Macaca fascicularis: one gene and its partners. The protein of the gene in region 3 purifies or fractionates together with the protein of the main gene of each other region. This does not show direct contact. Links are inferred from orthologs where the notes say so. Each region holds a gene or a part of one and is shown on either strand. Other genes may lie near its edges.

The links. The genes of interacting proteins can lie anywhere in the genome.
Region 1: the proteins of ANKRD28 (region 3) and PPP6C purify together in Homo sapiens (affinity purification with mass spectrometry; 9 studies listed by BioGRID and IntAct, with this or other methods). This does not show direct contact. The link is inferred for Macaca fascicularis from reciprocal best matches to the Homo sapiens genes ANKRD28 and PPP6C.
Region 2: the proteins of ANKRD28 (region 3) and ARHGEF2 purify together in Homo sapiens (affinity purification with mass spectrometry; 3 studies listed by BioGRID and IntAct, with this or other methods). This does not show direct contact. The link is inferred for Macaca fascicularis from reciprocal best matches to the Homo sapiens genes ANKRD28 and ARHGEF2.
Region 4: the proteins of ANKRD28 (region 3) and PPP6R1 purify together in Homo sapiens (co-immunoprecipitation; 4 studies listed by BioGRID and IntAct, with this or other methods). This does not show direct contact. The link is inferred for Macaca fascicularis from reciprocal best matches to the Homo sapiens genes ANKRD28 and PPP6R1.

The regions. Positions count from the first base shown.
Region 1 is NC_088389.1:18,865,340-18,870,144, reverse strand, and holds the start of PPP6C (serine/threonine-protein phosphatase 6 catalytic subunit), read right to left. Parts: upstream 3,213-4,805; 5' UTR 3,136-3,212; coding exon 3,061-3,135; intron 1-3,060.
Region 2 is NC_088375.1:105,084,165-105,089,049, reverse strand, and holds the start of ARHGEF2 (rho guanine nucleotide exchange factor 2), read right to left. Parts: upstream 3,213-4,885; 5' UTR 2,980-3,212; intron 1-2,979. UniProt on the Homo sapiens protein: Activates Rho-GTPases by promoting the exchange of GDP for GTP.
Region 3 is NC_088376.1:32,672,978-32,677,269, reverse strand, and holds part of ANKRD28 (serine/threonine-protein phosphatase 6 regulatory ankyrin repeat subunit A), read right to left. Parts: intron 3,070-4,292; coding exon 2,982-3,069; intron 2,891-2,981; coding exon 2,807-2,890; intron 1,849-2,806; coding exon 1,703-1,848; intron 1,115-1,702; exon of another isoform or gene 1,050-1,114; coding exon 967-1,049; intron 542-966; coding exon 459-541; intron 1-458. UniProt on the Homo sapiens protein: Regulatory subunit of protein phosphatase 6 (PP6) that may be involved in the recognition of phosphoprotein substrates. Involved in the PP6-mediated dephosphorylation of NFKBIE opposing its degradation in response to TNF-alpha.
Region 4 is NC_088393.1:63,193,151-63,198,003, forward strand, and holds the start of PPP6R1 (serine/threonine-protein phosphatase 6 regulatory subunit 1), read right to left. Parts: upstream 3,213-4,853; 5' UTR 2,627-3,212; intron 1-2,626. UniProt on the Homo sapiens protein: Regulatory subunit of protein phosphatase 6 (PP6). May function as a scaffolding PP6 subunit. Involved in the PP6-mediated dephosphorylation of NFKBIE opposing its degradation in response to TNF-alpha.

The DNA of each region.
Region 1 (4,805 bases), on a different chromosome or scaffold from region 3:
TTTGCCTTTACAGCCTCAGAAAAAGTACTCCTGGCATACTTTCTTGTCCTAATTTTAGGTTGCACTCCATGCCAAGAAACAGAAACAAAATTAAGCTTCTTTAAATACACCACAGATGAGCAACACAACAAATTAATCTGATAAAAACATTTCCAAGACAGAAAAAAAGTCTCAACTTATAAAGAAAAATTCAGAATTATTTTGTCTTGGATGCCCAAAATACGTATTTTTAAGTTTATTAAGAAACAGATACAAGCTGAGTACAGTGGCTCATGCCTGTTATCCCAGCATTTTGGGAAGCTGAGGTGGGAGAATCACTTGAGCCCAGGAGTTCAAGACTGGCCTGGGTAACATAGCAAGACCCTGTCTCTACCAAAAAAATAAATAAAAATTAGCTGGGCATGGGGACATGTGACTGTGGTCCCAGCTACTCAGGAGGCTAAGGTGGGAAGACTGCCTGAGCCCAGGAGGTCGAGGCTGCAGTAGGCCATGATTGTGCTACCACACTACAGCATGGGTGAGAGTGAGACCGTCTCCCTGCTCAAAAAAAAAAAAAGATAAAAAGATTTTTATTTTAAGAAAAAAAACAAACAAATACAAGTCAAGTACAATGCAGGAAATAAAATGGTCTAAAAACTATACTTCCTTAAGAAGGAAATCTAATGTTTATCAAACTAAGAGGTACAAAGAAGTCCAACAGATTACCTTTTTTTTGACACAGAGTCTCCCTCTGACACCCAGGCTGGAGTGCAGTGGCGCAATCTTGGCTCACTGCAACCTCCGCCTCCCTGGTTCAAGCAATTCTCCTGCCTCCGCTCCCAAGTAGCTGGGATTACAGGCACCTGCCACCACCCCCAGCTTATTTTTGTGTTTTTAGTAGAGACGGGGTTTCACCATGTTGGCCAGGTTGGTCTCGAGCTCCTGACCTCAAGTGATCCACCTGCCTCAGCCTCCCAAAGTGCTGGGATTACGCCACCGCGCCCTAGACACATTTTCATAGAAAGCAACATTTTATTCATCATAAACACAAAGTTCAAAAAAGTTTTACGCATGATAAATAAAAAGAAAAAATTCCATGTCAATTCACTGACATGCAATAGTCAACCTCACCTACGGGATTAATAATGCTACTAAGAGGTCTGGTTAGTTTTCCATGAATTGGATCCCAGTGCTAGTTGTATTCTTATTTCCTTAAAAAAAAAAACACATAGCAGAAAGAAGTCACGAAAGGAGTGTCTGAAGGACTCAGATGAGCACGAATGCTACATTACTACTAAGGAAGGCTGTCCTTATTTTAAATTATTCTATTAAAAATGGGAGAATGCAGAGGAATGACTCCCCTGTCATATGCCACACAAAATTAACAGGTAAGTACAATTCAGGCACATTCATAACACCATGTGTGGCCTCAAATATTATGCATACTTGTTGACTGATGTTAAGTATCAACTTACTGTACAAAGAAGAAATAAAACAAAACCCACAGTAATATATTTCTTTAAGAATACACTGAGCCGGTGTCGGGCGCGGTGGCTCAGGCCTGTAATCCCAGCACTGTGGAAGGCCGAGGTGGGCGGATCACGAGGTCAGGAGATCGAGACCATCTTGGCTAACACGGTGAAACCCCGTCTCTACTAACAATACAAAAAAATTAGCCAGGCGTGATGGCGGGCGCCCGTAGTCCCAGAGACTCGGGAGACTGAGGCAGGAGAATGGCATGAACCCAGGAGGAGGAGCTTGCAGTGAGCGGAGATCGCGCCACCGCACTCCAGCCTGGACGACAGAGGGAGACTCTGTCTCCAAAAAAAGAATACACTGAGTCGGATAAATACTAGCACGAGCTGATAAGCACTGCTAGAAACCTAAGTTCTGATTTCAGCAAATGCATAGAAACACTTTTCAAAAAAGCAGTATACCCTAGGCGGGGCGCGGTGGCTCAGGCCTGTAATACAAGCACTTTGGGAGGCCGAGGCGGGCAGATCACTTGAGGTCAGGAGTTCAAGACCAGCCTGGCCAACATGGCGAAACCCTGTCTCTACTAAAAATACAAAACAGCGGGAAGTCGTGGTGGGCGCCTGTAATCCCACCTAGTCGGGAGGCTGAGGCAGGACAATCGCCTGAACCCGGGAGGCAGAGGTTGCAGTGAGCAAGATCGCACCACTGCACTCGAGTTTGGGGGACAGAGTGAGACTCTATCTCAATTAAAAAAATAATAATAATTAAAAAGTTTTTAAAAAAGAAAAGCAGTATACCAAAGCCATTCCTTACCCATACATACATTTACTCTTACTTGGACTCAGGAGTAACAAAGAATTCACCTCCTTTAGAAAATCAAGAAAATGAAATGTTGAGTTCAGAAGCGGTTAAGGAAAAAGTATTTGTATTTATTGAGAACCAACTACTTTATCCACTTCAGTAACCTCAACAACATACTCAAAAACGGGATTCACCTCTGAATTAGCAAAAGAAAACCGACGATCCTAAAAAGCAATTTGGAGGAGTGGCAAAGAAAGAGCTGACGTTCGTTCCCGTCAGTACCAAACCACTCGGGCCCACCGCCTGCCCCTTCCTCAGAGACCTAAACACATTGGAGCCGCATTCCGGGAGCCGGTGGCATCTCCTGTCAGACGCCGGCCACTCCGCGCTCCTGTCACTTCCAGTGGTGGCGACCCCATCCCGAGGGCACTGCCGCGGGGGCTCGGCTCCGACTGCGGGAGACCCGGGGATGGGGTGGTGAGCCGAGTCTTCTAAGCAAAGCTGTTACAGCTGCGGGTCCTGGGGCAGCCCGAAGGCCAGAAGGGGCGACCCTGGGGCAGAGGCCGCGACATCCCTCGGGATCTCCACTGAGGCAACTGGGACAGCATTCGGGGGACTCGGCTCCCCCGACCCTCGGCGTGACGCCGGGTCGGACCGGGTCGCTTGGCACTGGGGCAGGCCCTCCACCGCGACGGGACGGGATACCCAGCGGGGGTCCCGGAGAAAGGAAGGGCGGGCCGCCGGGCGCCCCACAGCCGGAAGGGGCGAGCCCGCAAACAGGGCTCCCGCCCCGGCAGGGCTCACCTTCAGGTCGTTCTCTGGCAGGTACTTGCACAGCCGCGCTATCTCCACATACTTGTCCAGGTCTAGCGGCGCCATTTTAGGAATAACAAGCCGCGGCAACAGCAGCGGCGGCGGCTGTAGTAGCGGCGGCGGCAGCGGCGGAGGCCGAAGCCGGAACTTTCCCTGCGTCACGTCCGGCCCGTGAGTGGCGTCTGCGCAGCGCCGTTAAAGCTCGACCCGCTTCTCCCCGCTACCTCCGTACGCCCGGCGCCCCCTCTGGCAGAACCCCGGCTACAGGGCCCAAGAGACCCCTCTTCGATCCACCCCGCGAACCTGCTGGGACCCGTAGTCGTCTGCCGCGGGGCGTGCTGGGATGTGTAGTTTTCAGTTGTGGACAGCCACCTCCCCTCTTTTCCTCCCATTTCTCCAGACTTCCACCTGCCGGCAGCCGGCCAGGCTTTTCCGAGGCAAAACGGCGGAGTAGGTGGTCCTAGCCACTCACTGGTTTCTTTTTCCAACTCTTTTAAGCACTCTTTCACCAGAATATCTTAACAGTTGGGTAAGCCTGGCCGTTTGCACCTTTCCAAGTCCCTGTGAAAACCTCGCCTAAGCCTGTGGCAGAGATGTCAGGCTCCAGTCTTCCAATCTGAAAGGAAGGAAAACAAATATTAAAGGTTTTCTTATGCTAAATGCGATACAAATGCTGTTTTTCCATTTACTCTTCGTAACGATTGATAGGAAAGTGAGGCTTGGAGGCTTTAAGTAGTTTACCCCAAATCTCACAGGGAACAAAATGGCGGGACCAAGATTGGAAAAATGGCTTAAGCTTAAGCGTACTTCCAATGAGAATCCCACAAGGACATGGAGTTTTTTGCTGTAACTCCAGCACTGAGAACAGTACCTGGTACTAGCGTACCTTCAGCATTCGTTTATTCAAGCACTCTTTATTGAGCAACAAAGATGTGCCAGGTACAGCTGCAGGAGCTTGCAACACTTCATGAACAAAATAGACAAAGATCTCTATCCTATCCGTAGCTACAAAAAATACCAAAATTAGCCGGGTGCGGTAGTGCGTGCTTGTGGTCCCAGCTACTCTGGAGGCTGAGGAAGGAGAATCGCTTGAGCCGGGAGGCGGAGGTTGCAGTGAACCGAGATCGCGGCACTGCACTCCAGCTTGGGCGACAGAGCGAGATCCTCCTCAAAAATAAATTAGTAAAAGGTGGCCGGGCCCTGTGGCTCACGCCTGTAATCTCAGCACTTTGGGAGGCCGAGGCGTGCAGATCCCGAGGTCAGGAGATCGAGACCATCCTAGCTAACAAGGTGAAACCCCGTCTCTACTAAAAATACAAAAAGAAATAAGCGGGGCGTGGTGGCGGGCGCCTGTAGTCCCAGATATTCGGGAGGCTGAGGCAGGAGAATGGTGTGAACCCGGAGGCGGAGCTTGCAGGGAGCTGAGATCCCGCCACTGCACTCCAGCCTGGGCGACAGAGCGAGACTCTGTCCCAATAAATAAATAAATAATAAATAAATAAATAAATCAGTAAAAGGAAGCTGCTGTATGGGACTAGGGGTGGGGGTACAATGGCTGTAGCTAAGAGACCAGTTAGGAGACTGTTATGTAATCCAATAGTAGCAGGCGCTCAATAAATATTTGTTGCTCAAGAGTTCCTGGAATGAATCCTCTTGCTCTCTAAAGTGTATTTTGTGAACAAATGGCTAACCCTTAATGAGATATCTGTGTGAACTTCTTTGTATTATCCTTGTAA
Region 2 (4,885 bases), on a different chromosome or scaffold from region 3:
GCCCAGGCTGGTCTTGAACTCTTGAGCTCAAGCGATATGCCCACCTTGGCCTCCCAAAGTGCTGGGATTACAGTCATGTGCTACCACGCCTGGCCTAAAATATTTGTTAACTGGATCTTTACAGAAAAACTTTGCCAACTCCTAATCTAGAGCAACCGGGTCTCAAAATCTCAGGAAGGAGGAGAAAGGAGAAAAGAGATAAAAGAGGGACATGAAAGGATCACTGCACACCAGGCATTCGGCTACAAGCTTTGGGGAAGAAGGGATATTGAGACATTGAGACCTCAATATAACTACTTCCTTTTTTTTTTTGAGACGGAGTCTTGCTCTGTCTCCCAGGCTGGAGTGCAATGGTGCGATCTCGGCTCACTGCAACCTCCGCCTCCTGGGTTCAAGCGATTCTCCTGCCTCAGCCTCCCAAGTAGGTGGGATTACAGGCACCCACCACCACACCCAGCTAAGTTTTGCATTTTTAGTAGAGAGGGAGTTTCACTGTGTTGGTCAGGCTGGTCTCAAACTCCTAACTTCAGGTGACCCTCCCACCTTGGCCTCCCAAAGTGCTGGGATTACAGGTGTGAGCCACTGCACCCAGCCAACATACCTACTTCCTAAATGTCATCTGAGGCCTATATAGAGAGAGATAATGAGTGCCAACATCCATTTTGTGCCATCCTCACAAATATTTCTTGAAACAGACATTATTATCCCTATTTTACATATGAAGAAACAGGCTGCATAGAGAGCTTAAGTAACTGGCTGGGGGTCACAGAGCTGATAGGAGGCGGAGATGAGTTTTCAAAGCTGATCCATCACATTATGGAGCCTGAATTCTTTTCTGAAACCAGAAAACAAGCTCTCAAAGAAAGCAAGTGGCTAGCTTTTTTTTTTTTTCTGAGACACGGCCTCGCTCTGTTGCCCAGGCTAGAGTGTAGTGGCACGATCTCGGCTCACTGCAACCTCTGCCTCCCAGGTTCAAGTGATTCTCCTGCCTCAGCCTCCTGAGTAGCTGGGATTACAGGCGTGCACCACCACGCCTGGCTAATTTTTGTAATTTTAGTAGAGACAGTGTTTCACCATGTTGACCAGGCTGGTCTTGAACTCCTGACCTCAAGTGATCCACCCATCTTGGCCTCCCAAAGTGCTGAGATGAAATTATAGACCTGAGCCACTGTGCCCAGCCTATCAAGTGGCTAGCTTTTTTTTTCCTTTTTTTTTTTTTTTTTTTTTTTTGAGATAGTCTTGCTCTGTCACCAGGCAGGCTGGAGTGCAATGGCGCGATCTCGGCTCACTGCAACCTCCGCCTCCTAGGTTCAAGCAATTCTCCCACCTCAGCTTCCCAAGTAGCTGACATTACAGGCACCCGCCATTGTGCCTGGCTAATTTTTGTATTTTTGTAGAGATGGGGGTTTCACAATATTGCCCAGGCTGGTCTTGAACTCCTTACTTCAGGTGATCTACCCACTTCAGCCTCCCAAAGTGCTGGGATTACAGGCATGAGTCACCACACCAGGCCAAGTGGCTAGCTTTGAAAGAAATCTGGCAACATTATTTTTACCCACCTCATTCCTACCTCCCTGACCCCAGCCAAAGAAACGAAGCAGCTTCCAAAAGAAATGAGATAGGGGTCCCAAAGAAGTTCAGTGTATCCTTTCTGCTCCCTGTGTTAGCTTAGACCCCTGAATGAGGTGATGGGGCACAGGCAGGTCTCTGGTTATGTTTGCTGCCAGCGAACACCGAACATGGGGGAGGAACTGCTGACAGCAACCAAACAGCCAGGTGCTGTTGCTTGGAGGCAATGCTGGCTGGCCCTTTCGCAGTCTGAGAAGCTTTGAGTCTGGCTCTGGGATCCTAAATCTAGCGAGGTGGCCAATATTGGAGAAGACCCAAGAGAATCGGATAATAAAGGCTGAGGAGGAAAGGAGAGGCCAAATGACATGTTGTACTGGCTCTCCTCCAAATCTCCTGGCCCTGGGGGTGGGACACAGGGTCACAAAAACTCTTTGATGGTTCAAAATTTAACCTAACATTTCTTCTCCTGTAGAAAGTAAACCATTAATCCAACAGTGCCCTGCAAAGAAGGCTAAAGCAGAGCTTCTCTTCGCCTCAGATAAAGAAGGCTCCAGGAGCTACAATTCCTTCCCATGTGCTCCCTAGACACCCCATTCCAAGACAGGAGCACCCAAGTCTCTGATACCTTCCTGCTTCACCCATCTGCCTGACTTGGCTGAACGCTGGTGTCCTGGAACTCATTCTCCTTCTCTGACTTTCCTGTCCACTGTCAGAGAGTAGTGCCACAATTCCAAAAATGAAAGCAAAGTAAAAGATATAGAGGATCCATTCATTCAGCAAAGATTATTTTAGCACCTTTTAAGTGTCAGGCACAGAGAAGAGGACCCAGAAGAGTCTATGCACAAATACAATGGTGGGCCCTGGCTACCATCCCTTAGTGGGGCAGAGGCCAGTATGGGCAAAAGCCATCTGTCGTATCAGCTTCCGGGTTGTCTCCTGAGAGGCATTATCATCTGTACTTAGTTCTGGAATTTCAAGGCGTCCCCAGCCCCCTAATCTAACTACACACCCCTCTACTAAGTCAGCCACAGGCATCTCAGACACTCTCCCTAAATCATCCCCATGTCCTTGATGTACTAGGTTCATAAGTCAGTCAGGAATTTTGCTGCTCTGGGCTTCCAAGTGTGACCGCCTTTTTTTTTTTTTTTTTAATTGGTTAGTAAACTGAACTTAGGGACCCTGCCCTCTTCCGTTCTGCTGGACCTGTAGCTGTATGCTTATTCTACCAGGGGCTTGGGACCCAGACTAACCCTTTATTTGTGGGGGATAGAGAAGAAAAGGGTCAAGACCAACCAGTCCTCTTCTACCTCCTGCCAGTTTCCTGGCATGTGTTCTGGGTGCCATGCCAGACAGGTGGGGCAAGAGAGGGTCTGAGGGCAAGGACCCAGGAAAGGAGAGAGGGAAACTCACCAGACCTGGGAGATATCCCAAAGATGGGAGACCTGTTTCTGCCCTCAGTTGGTGACTTCAGTGTGGGAAAAAGTCCTGCTTCAGGTGGCCCCTTTAAGAACCAGTCCAGCACCTTGGTGGGGGTCCCCTCTCTCTTGGTCCTTTTAAGGGAGCTGCTCATGGTCCAGAAGTTTGCATAAGGGGGAACTCATTCCAGTACAGACCAGCTGCCTCTTCATCCACTGCAGCCCTTCCCTTCCCCGCCCTACTTCAAACACCCTAAACAGTGCTGTGCCCAGGCCCTTAACTCTTTCAGTGCCACTACTGATCCCAGGGACTCCTGGGTCCCTCTGTCTTCAGCATTCCCTGAACACAGGGCGGCTACAGAATTCAGACTTGTGTGGAAACAGGTACAAGAAGCCATGCTGGGGTCACCCTGAGGAGAGACTATACGGGAACCTGACAGTCCAGGGAAGGTTCATCCTTCCTCCAACAGGGTCAGGGAGAAACTGGGGAGGGGAGAAAGCGGACATCTCCAGGAAAGAAACAGCTGCAGCTGGAAACCCACTTCACAGCAGGGTCCTCAGCGGGGTCAGTGGCGTCCTTTGCCCTCTCAAATTAGGCTTCACAACTGATTGTTGGCCGGGCATGGTGGGTCATGCCTATAATCCCAGCACTTTGGGAGGCCGAGGCGGGCTGATCACTTGAGGTCGGGAGTTAGAGACCAGCTTGGCCAACATGGAGAAACCCCGTTTCTACTAAAAATATAAAAATTAGCCGGGGGTGGTGGTGTGCACCTGTAATCCTAGCTACTGGGGAGGCTGAGGCAGGAAAATCGCTTGAACCCGGGATGCAGAGGTTACAGCCAGCCGAAATCACGCCACTGTAATCCAGCCTGGGCAACAGAGCAAGATTCCATCTCAAAACAAACAAACAAACAACAATAAAAAAAACCTGATTGTTTGTCCCTTTAAGAGGCAGGTTACAGCAATGGAGGAGGAAAGATTGTATTTTTTTGTGATGAAAGTACAGGGTGGAGCGGTTACAAGGGCAGCTGCACTGAGAAGGGCCCTAGTGTCAGCACCAGGAACAAGGGTGACCAAGGAACTCAGCATATCCGGGGCTCATGGCTTGTTGTGGATACCAGGCGGCAGTATATTTGACCAGCTCCCCCACTCTCTTCCCAGATAACAGCTTCTGGGGCGGGGCAGTGGCTGACTCACCTTCACTGCTTTCCCTGGGGCAGAGGACAGCTGGGGCTGACGTCGGACTTCCTGAGGTAACGGAGAGCCCTCTTTGCCTCCTGTGGGCTAGTAGAAAGGGCATGTTAGAGCTGGAAGATCTTGGCTGCCTCTGCCAAGTCACTAGTTACAGGACCTTGTGTCACCTATTTAGCCTCATCCCCTTATCTGTAGAATGCAGATGTTAAATGAGACATGTGAGAACAGTGGAACATACATGCTGGGTCCGTAATAAATAAATATGCTAGCTGCCACTGGTGGGCAACCTTGGACAAGCCGCTTCACCCTGTGTCTTTCCTGATCTATTAAATGAGAGCATCAAATTAGGTAATCTATGGTTTATCCTTACTCAAAAATTCTCTCTGTCGGTGAGTGGAAGAGAGCAGCTGCTGCCGGATGTAGAACTGTGTGTGCCCTTCCCCACCTGGCTGGATCTCACCCACACGATGAGAAAGTGACAGTGGTTGTTCCTCATGTTCCTCACTGCATAAGAACAAAGGGGTAATACCTGCCCTATCATACCGGTGAGGGGTCCTCAAAAATCCTCTAAACAATTTCATGATTGTGCAGACGAGGAAACAGGCTCCAAGAGGCAGAGTTATTTTATATATACTTTATATATATATTAATTTTTATTTTCCATTGAGATAGGGTCTCACTCTGTCACCCAGGCTGGAGTGCTGTGG
Region 3 (4,292 bases):
AAGGACAATGAGAGACACTGATGTAAGATTTCTGTCAGTCAATCTGGAGGTTGGCTGCTCACATTATTAAAAAGTCTGATTCTTTCAGAAACTTTATTTGCTTACAGACACACATAAAGCTTCTTACCTCATTTATTGTTAGTTTCAAGTAACATATTATTAGTTCATTTCCATAAAATATACAAAATAGTACTACTTTCCTTCAGAAAATTAGGTAGGTGGATTAAGAACAAAATACATTATTGTCAATGTTGTAATGAAGTTTCAGTTCAAAAGCATTTTAAATAATATGCCTTTTAGTTGTGATCATTTTAGAAATGAGTTTTGACAGTTGTAAACTATTAAAATTGCTTCTATGACTAATGAAACCTATTCCAACAGTCATGTTTAAAAAAATCCATTTATCATTTTTATAATTATAGGTCACAAAGTTTATACTAGATACTGACAGTACTCACGTTTGCAAGGCTGCGTTGGTTGCATTGATGAGGTTTCTATCTGTTATCTTTTCCAGTATTAACAAGGCACTAGTTTCATGACCCTACAAAAATTGTGGCAGATAAGTTATAAAAACTTGGGTACCATTCAAGGTACATTTATATACCCAACAATCTGCAACCCTAGTTCATATAATATGTACAACACCATTCATATGCCATGAATTTTCCTGGCTAATATCTTAATATTTGCCCAAACACATCTTGGGAGTGAGGGTAGGAGAAGAGGACAAAATTAAGATTAAGGAAAGAGGATAATTATACTTAGGCTTGTGTTCCAAAACTTATTTGGCTTACTGGACACTTTGATACGCCATGGTGCCTTATAAGTCAATAATTTTGTTCAAGAAATCTAATACCAGTGATCATTAGAGAGGTTTGGTCCTGAGTTCTGTTCATTTTAGTGAAGTCAAAAAACTTTTAATGCCACTGTTAACAATGAAAACATGTTCTTAAAATGTATACATACCTTGCTACAAGCCAAATGGAGGGCAGTATTTTTACTGTTATCTTGTAAAGTCAGTTCTGCACTAGCACTGCTAACCAGCATCTCTGGGAGGAAAAAGTGCATCAATTCTTATGTTTATGAACATGTTTCTTAGATTACCAATAACTCACTGTAGAGAAACGAAGATACAAAGCAAAACAGTCCCTCTCACAAAAACTTAAGTACAAGAAAAATATTGTAATATATAACATATATACTGTATCTTCACATAATTGTATGAGACAATTATATTGTTGTATAAGTCACACACTCTAACAATGGCAATTAACATTTATTTTGTGACTGTGCACTAAATTTTAAATACTGTTTTATATGCTCTGGATTTATAGTAATTTATTTAAACCTCACAACAACCCACCAAGTAGATACTGTTATTTTTCTCATTTTGTAAATGAGAAAACTGAGGGAGGCATCAGGTCATTTAGCTGGAAGATCTAGGACTCATATTGAGGCAATCCAACTCCAGAGTCAGTGTTCTTCACCACTATGTTATAGGGCCATCGTAAAGTAGACTCCTCAATCAGTAAGTGCAAACTAAAACATTGTATCCCTAAATGAAAATGTGGATTGCAAACAGGTAAAAGGTTTTAAGTCTTAGGAGTGGTAAGATAACTAGCTGAAGTCAGAAGTCTTGGGATCTAAGTTATAAATAAGTGATACACATACTTAGGAAAATACAATTTTAAAGTTTATTTACCAACTGTATTTGTTTGTCCATTTTCTGCAGCCATCATAAGAGGTGTTTTCCCTGTAGAGTCCACAGAATTGACTTGAGCATTATGGCTCAGCAGCAGCTGTAAACACTCTACATGGTCTGTGAAGGCAGCTGCATGGAGAGGAGTTCTGTGATAAAGAAAAATGGAAACGTATGACTAAATTTGAATGTTATATATGCTGGAAAAATATTCTTTAATTTGTCACATGCAGTTTTTAAGGGTTTACATATTAGGCTATAAAAGCACTGCCTGTATACAAACAAATAGGCTCAATGGAGCTCACTAATTTCTCCCATAGAAATTTGTACTTTCAATAATATAGAAGGCCTTAATTAAACTAGAACTAGTATGAAGTAAAGATTAATTACAAAATTGCTAAAATAACATTACATCATTAAAGGAAATTTTGAAAGAAATAAATCCTGACCTGAATACCACCACTTCTTACAACTGCTGGACTTTCTTCTAGCCTTTATTCCTATTTAGAAAACTTTTAACTTTGTTAACAATTATCTTTGGGAAACAAACAACTTCTAAAGAAAGGGGAAAAATTTACATTTTAAAATAGTTTAAAGGAGGAAAATTTCCTAAAATCTATAAATAGAAAAACCGTTTATAATGTAAAAATAATTGAGATCTTATAACAATTTATACTTGCAAATAAAAAAATCAACTTTTAAATAATAATGGGTTTTCTGTAAATTCTCTCACACCAGGCCAGTAGTTAAAATTTATTTCTTATTGAAAATAAAACTTTTTTGGGGGCTAGGGCAGAGACAGGATCTCACTCTGTCATCCAGGCTGGAATGCAATAGTGCAATCACAGCTCACTGCTGCCTCAAACTCCTGGGCTCAAGTGATCCTCCTGCCTCAGCCTCCTGAATAGCTGGGATCACAGGCATGCATCATCATGTCTTTTTTTTTTTTTTTTTGGGTGGAGATGCAGGTCTTAGTATGTTGACCAGGCTGGTCTTAAACTCCTGGCTTCAAGTTATCCTCCCACCTCGGCCTCCCAGATTGTTAGGATTATAGGCATGAGCCACTGTGCCTGGCTAAAACTATTTAATACATAGTTGAATTCCTACCTTCCTTTTGAATCTGTGGCGTTCACAATGCTGGCACCTAATGTGTCAATTAACATCTCAGCAGCACCTTCGTTGTCATTTATCCTGTGTAAGGTAACATGGTGATCATTCTCACAGCAATGGTATATTTCTTAAAACACTCAAACCAAGTCTGATTCATTCTGGCTTTACTTACACAGCACAATGCAATGGACTAAAAGCATTTCCTTCCGTTTTCTGGAAAACTTCCTGTTCTAAAAGCAGTTCTACACATGTCTCGTGACCTAAATAGGTGTAAAGAACCAGATATTAAAATTCAAAGGAGATACTGGCAAAAATCAGATACACATAAATGTTTAAAGGAAAAATGTAAAAGTCTCTCCCCCATCCCATCTCCCAGTTCCCCTCTCTGGAATATAACCACTGGTAGCTGTTAAACCACCAGTAGTTCCAGAAAATTTCTAGGCATATACAACTGCATGCGCATACATACATACAGTTGGCTCTCTGTATCCATGGGTTCTGCATCCATCAATTCAACCAAACCCAAATTAAAAATACTTGGGGGGAAAAAAAAACAGAGCAGACTTTTTTTCTTGTCATATACCCTAAATATAGCATAGCAATTATTTACACACCATTTACATTACATTGGCTATTATAAGTAATCCAGAGATGACTTAAAGTATAGCAGAGAATGTGCACAGGTTATATGCAAATACTATCCCATTTTCTATAAGGGACTTGAGCACCTGTTGGTTTTGGTATTCATAAGGGGTCCTGGAAACCAATCCTCAACAGCAAATGAGAGATGACTGTGCTATTTATTTTTTTAATGGCAATGGGATGTTTAATTCCGCAACTTGCTTTTTACTTAGTATTAACTACACATATCCTTCCATAATAGCATATATAGAAGTATTATTATTATTTTAGACGGAGTCTCGCTCTTTCATCCAGTCTGGAGCGCAGGGGCGCGATCTCGGCTCACTGCAACCTCTGCCTCCCAGCTTCAAGTGATTCTCCTGTCACAGCCTCCTGAGTAGCTGGGACTACAGGCGCCCACCACCATGCCCAGCTAACGTTTTTCGTATTTTTAGTAGAGACGGGGTTTCACCATGTTGGTCAGGCTGATCTCGAACTCCTGACCTCAGGTGATCCACCCGCCTCCATCTCCCAAAGTGCCTGGATTACAGGCGTGAGCCACCGTGCCCGGCTAAAATCTTATTCTTTAGTGTTCTGAAGAGCTTCACAGTATCCAAGTGTATGATAAATTATTTAATCTAATTATGGATTTTAAAGTGATTGTTAGTTTAAAAAAATTCTTCATGATATTATCAACAATGCTGTAATGAAACATTCTGGCATTTTTAAATTTTACTAAAACAATTTTTTGAGACAGGGTCCTGCTCTGTTGCCCAAGTTGAAGTGCGGTGGCATGATCATGGCTCACTGCAGCCTCAACCTCCTGGGCTCAAGTGATCCTCCCACCTCAGCCTCCTGAGTG
Region 4 (4,853 bases), on a different chromosome or scaffold from region 3:
GCATCCCACAGTCACCCGAGGACAGCACGTGAGCCTCGGCTCTGTGACAGGATGTACCTGTTCAGTCATCTGCCTCCCCTGAAACACGCTGACTTCCCAGGATCTAGCGTCAGGCCAGGCCCAACTAAAGCTACTTGTGAATTAATGAAAACTGAAGCCAGAGAAAGGTGTTCTGTTAAGATCACTGGGCCACACATCCCAGAAAAAAAAATGGGGAGGGTACCAGACAAGCAGGTTCTCCTCGAATGGAAAGAAACAGTAGATTAACCAACAAAAGCTAACGGCCACAAAGATGGTGGCAACTCGCAATACACAACTCACCAACACACAGCTCAGGAGTCACAACAGAGTAAATGAGCCACAACGACACACAGCACCCCGGCAGTGGAGCAAAGCTCTCCTCCTCTGCGCTGCCCACATTTGGGCTGGACAGTTCTTTTTGGTGCTGGGACTGCCCGTGCATTGGAGGACACTTAGCAACATCCCTGGCCTCCACCTCCACTCACCAGATACTGGCAGCACTCCCCCCAGTTGGAACAACCAAAAACATCTCCAGATATCACCAACTGTCCCCAGCTGAGAACCACTGCAACAGACACTCCCAAATCAAATAACAATCGAAAGAACGGCCAGATATGGTGTCCCACACCTATAATCCCAGCTCTCTGGGAGGCTAGGCAGGAGGACTGCTTGAGCTCACGAGTTTGAAATCAGCCTGGGCACCATGGCAGGGCACCATAGCAAGACCCAGTCTTTACAAAAAATACAAACATTAGCTGGGCGTGTACAAAAAAATACAAAAATTGAGCAAGCATTGCAGCACGTGCCTGTAGTCGCAGCTACTCAGGAGGCTGAGGTGGGAAGATCACTTGAGTCCAGCAGTTCAAGGCTGCAGTGAGCAATGATTAGACCACTGCACTCCAGGTTGGGCAAAGGAGCAAAACTCAGTCTCAAAATCATCACCATCATCCAAAGAGCTACTGATTGCAGAGCACAATGTACCTTGCATTCTGACCCAGGCTTCTACAAACCTTGCACTTAATCCCTAGAACTACCCTCTGAGGAGAGCAGTCTGCTATCCCCACTTACAGATGAAGAACAACTTGTCCAAGATCTCACCACTTGGAAAAGCAGAAGCCAGACTCGGCCTAGGTCTGTCTGACAAAAGGTCCTCTAACAATTAGCTGGACTGCCTTCTCATGATCCCAATCCCAGAACTAGAGTTAGGTGGTCTCATGTAACTTATGCAAAATGATACATGTTGGGCAAAAGTTAAAAAAAAAAAAAAAAAAAAAAAAAGCGTAACATTTTAAACAGCACAAGCAGCTCCAACAGCCGTTCCACCACTAGTAAGCACACGTGGCCGGGTGCCGTGAGCATTTCCACGTGTGTTGTGCATGGATGTAAACCAAGTCCTCATCACGGGTTACTCAGGCAATCTCCAGTCCTTGCTGCATTTGCAGGGCACGGTGATGGTTAGATCCTCGCCCTTGGGCTGGATGAAATCCCACTGCAGTTTCTCTACAACTGTGAACCCAGTACCGCGCCTGACAGTCTACGCAGCTGCCTTTACTGAAACATCTTGCTTTTCAGGCGGATGTTTATGGTCATGTCTGTGTGTACAAAGAGCGAGCAAGAAAGACCCCAACCAGAGGTCCCATTCAAGGCCTGGACAAGCACCCCGGGCCGAGCTACTCTGCCCCTCACCCTCCCAACACATCTTCACTCAGGACTCCGACCTTCCTTCCTTGACATATCTGCACGTGCTGCTCCTTCCCCCCCCCCCCGGAAGGCCCTTCTTCCCACTCTCCATCTGTCACCTCCTACTCATCCTTCCTAGACAGAAAAAGCCATCCATCCAGCCAGTCTCACCAGTGCCTTGCGCTCTGTGGCCCCCTGCAGCTCCCTAAGTTACCTCCATCACAACACACAGGAATTGTGACTGTCCGGTTCTGCCTTTGTCCCCCCTCCCTCCAGGGACCGGCCCCACCTCCAGGGCAGGGCCTAGGACTGATGACCCCTCCTCGGAGCCCAGCGCCAGGCGCCCTGCCTGCCCTCAGCAGGCTTCATCTCACTGAAGCAGGCCGGAGTGGTGGCTGCTCCAGAGAAGCCCCGCTCCCAGGTCCCTCGCACAAGAAACCGGAGGCGGGAGAGGGTCGGTCAAGGTGAAGACAAGCCCCGCTCCCCCAGTCCTGAGCTCCGGGGTGACAGGCAACGGATCTAAGGAGGCTGCGCCGCGGAAGAGGCGGCGGGGCAGAGATTGGGGCGAGAGAGATGGGTGTGAGCGGGCAAAGTCCAGGGTAACCAGGAGGAAAGACTCCTGGGGAGCCGGGGGACCGGCCAGAGAGGCAAGAGAGCGGAGCTGAGGCTCAGGGACTGGGGAGCGCAGCTGCAAAGAGAGCGGGTGGGAAAAGCCCGAGGGCAAGAAACTGAGAGGTGGGTGGCGGGGGAGCTGAGGAGAGATTAAGAGACTGGAGAGGGTCGAGGGGGAAGAAACGGGGGCCCGTGGAGAGGGAACCCGAAGGAAGGAGGATCCCAAGCAGAAAAGACCGGCGGGGGTCCGGAGAGGGGAAGACGTGGGGGCCTGGTCCTGGAGAGGCAGGGTCGGGCGACACGGGCCGCTCACCTGCGAGGGGGGGCGGCGGCTCCTCGCACTCGGGGCTCATCGGGGCGCCCCCCCCGCCCCGCCGCCGGCGGCTCCGGCCCCTGCTGCGGGGCCCGGTAAGTAGGGGCGGGGGCGGCGTCGGGGACTTGCGCAGGCGCCGGGGCTCGCGGGGTCCGCGCAGGCGCCCGCGGGTCGTGGGGTCCTCGCGCGCCGGGTCCTGCAGAGTTGAGGGGGTCAGAGCCGGGTGGGGTTGCCGGCGGGCTGGGGGTGTCACGAGTCCGCGTAGGCGCCTCCGGGGTCCGCAGGCGAGGTGGGCGCGCCGACCAAGGCGGGTTGCGGGCGAGTCCGGTCGCGAGGCCCGCGCAGGCGCCTCAGCCGGGAAGACGGGGGAAGTTGCCTCGGTTTCCACACTCCAACCCAGCGCCCCGCGGGAGGGGAAGACGTCCTCCTCCGCGGTCCAAACGGGCCGCAGAGCCGAGCAGCGACCGACGGACGCCGAGGCCTACTTCCTTAACCGCCCCTTCCCCAAAGCCGCTCAGTCTCCGGGCTCTGCGGCCCGCCTCAGGGCCTCCGACGCCCGGCTCCCTCCGCCACTATCCCACAATCCCCCTAGCGCAGGACGACGCAGGAGGCCCCGCCCTCCCGCGGCGGTCTCGGTGCGCAGGTGCGGGAGGGGCCGCACGCCTGGGTGGTGCAGTGCGCGTGCGCCCGCGTGCTTCCGACCCCGCCCACTCCTGAACCCCGCCGCCGTAGACGCGCTTGCGCCCGTTGGTGCCAACGGTCTGGCCCGGAATAAACCCAGACAGCGCAATGAGCCGGAGCTGCGCACCGGCTCCGTTCCAAGTCCCCGTGAATATTCCGCCCCAGGATTTCCCTTCCCACTCGCTCCGTTTGGGAATCCGTTCGCTCTTCTGTCTCCTCTAATCATAGTCCGGCTTTGGCTCCAGGGTCGGGCTCTTGTGAAATCCAGACCTGGTTTTCACTCCAGCCAAGGCCAGGCGCCTTAGTCCCGCCCGGCTCTCGAGATAAGCGGCCTGCGAGCCTCAGGAACCCTCAGTCCTTTCCATTTGCTGGCGATAGTCCCGGCCGGGTCGCTAGTGTTGCCAGTTCCGCCCAAAGCCGCCTCTAATAGCATCAACTGGAAGAGACCTCCTAGACCTTGTGTCTAGATTGATGAAGGCCCCATCTGGCTTTGAGCCTCAGTTTCCCCAACTTTAATAGCCCCCCCTCCCTGCCCATGTTAGAGGCCCACTGTAAAAATCGTGTGGGCGCGAGGAACTTTTTTTTTTTTTTTTAAAGACTGCAAATTGGCCAGGCGCGGTGGCTCACGCCTGTAATCACAACACTTTGGAAGGCCCAAGGCAGAAGGATGGCATGAGCCCAGGAATTCGAGACCACCCTGGGCAGCCTAGGGAGACCCCCGTCTCTACAAAAGAAAATTTACAAAATTAGTTGGGCATGGTGGCCCGCGCCTGTAGCCTCAGCTATTCGGGAGGCTAAGGCAGGGGAATCGCTTGAGCCCAGGCTGCAGTGAGCCGGATTGCACTAGTGCACTCCGGCCTAGGAGACAGCGAGAACCTGTCTCAAAAACAAACAAAGGGTCTGGCGCGGTGGCTCAGGCGTGTACCTGAGCTCAGGAGTTCCAGACTCCACACCTGTAATCCCAGCACTTTGGGAGGCCGAGGAGGGCGAATTGCGTGAGCTCAGGAGTTCGAGACCAGCCTGGGCAACACGGTGAAACCCCGTTTCTACTAAAATACACAAAAAAGGCCGGATGTGGCGGTGTGCGCCTGTAATCCCAGCTACTCGGGAGGCTGAGGCAGGAGAATTGCTTGAATCCGGGAGGCAGATGTTGCAGTAAAAAAAAAAGGCCGGGCGCGGTGGCTCACGCCTGTAATCTCAGCACTTTGGGAGGCCGAGGCAGGCAGATCACAAGGTCAGGAGATGGAGACCATCCTAGCTAACACAGTGAAACCCCGTCTCCACTAAAAAATACAAGACAATTAGCCGGGCGTGGTGGCAGGCGCCTGTAGTCCCCGCTACTCGGGAGGCTGAGGCAGGAGAATGGTGTGAACCTGGCAGGAGAATGGCGTGAACCTGGGAGGCAGAGCTTGCAGTGAGCCGAGATCGCGCCGTCACGCCACAGCACTCCAGCCTGGGCAACAGCAAGACTCTGCCTCAAACAACAACAACAACAACAACAACAAAAATCCAATCCATTTGTCCTTCACATCTGTTACCTTTTATT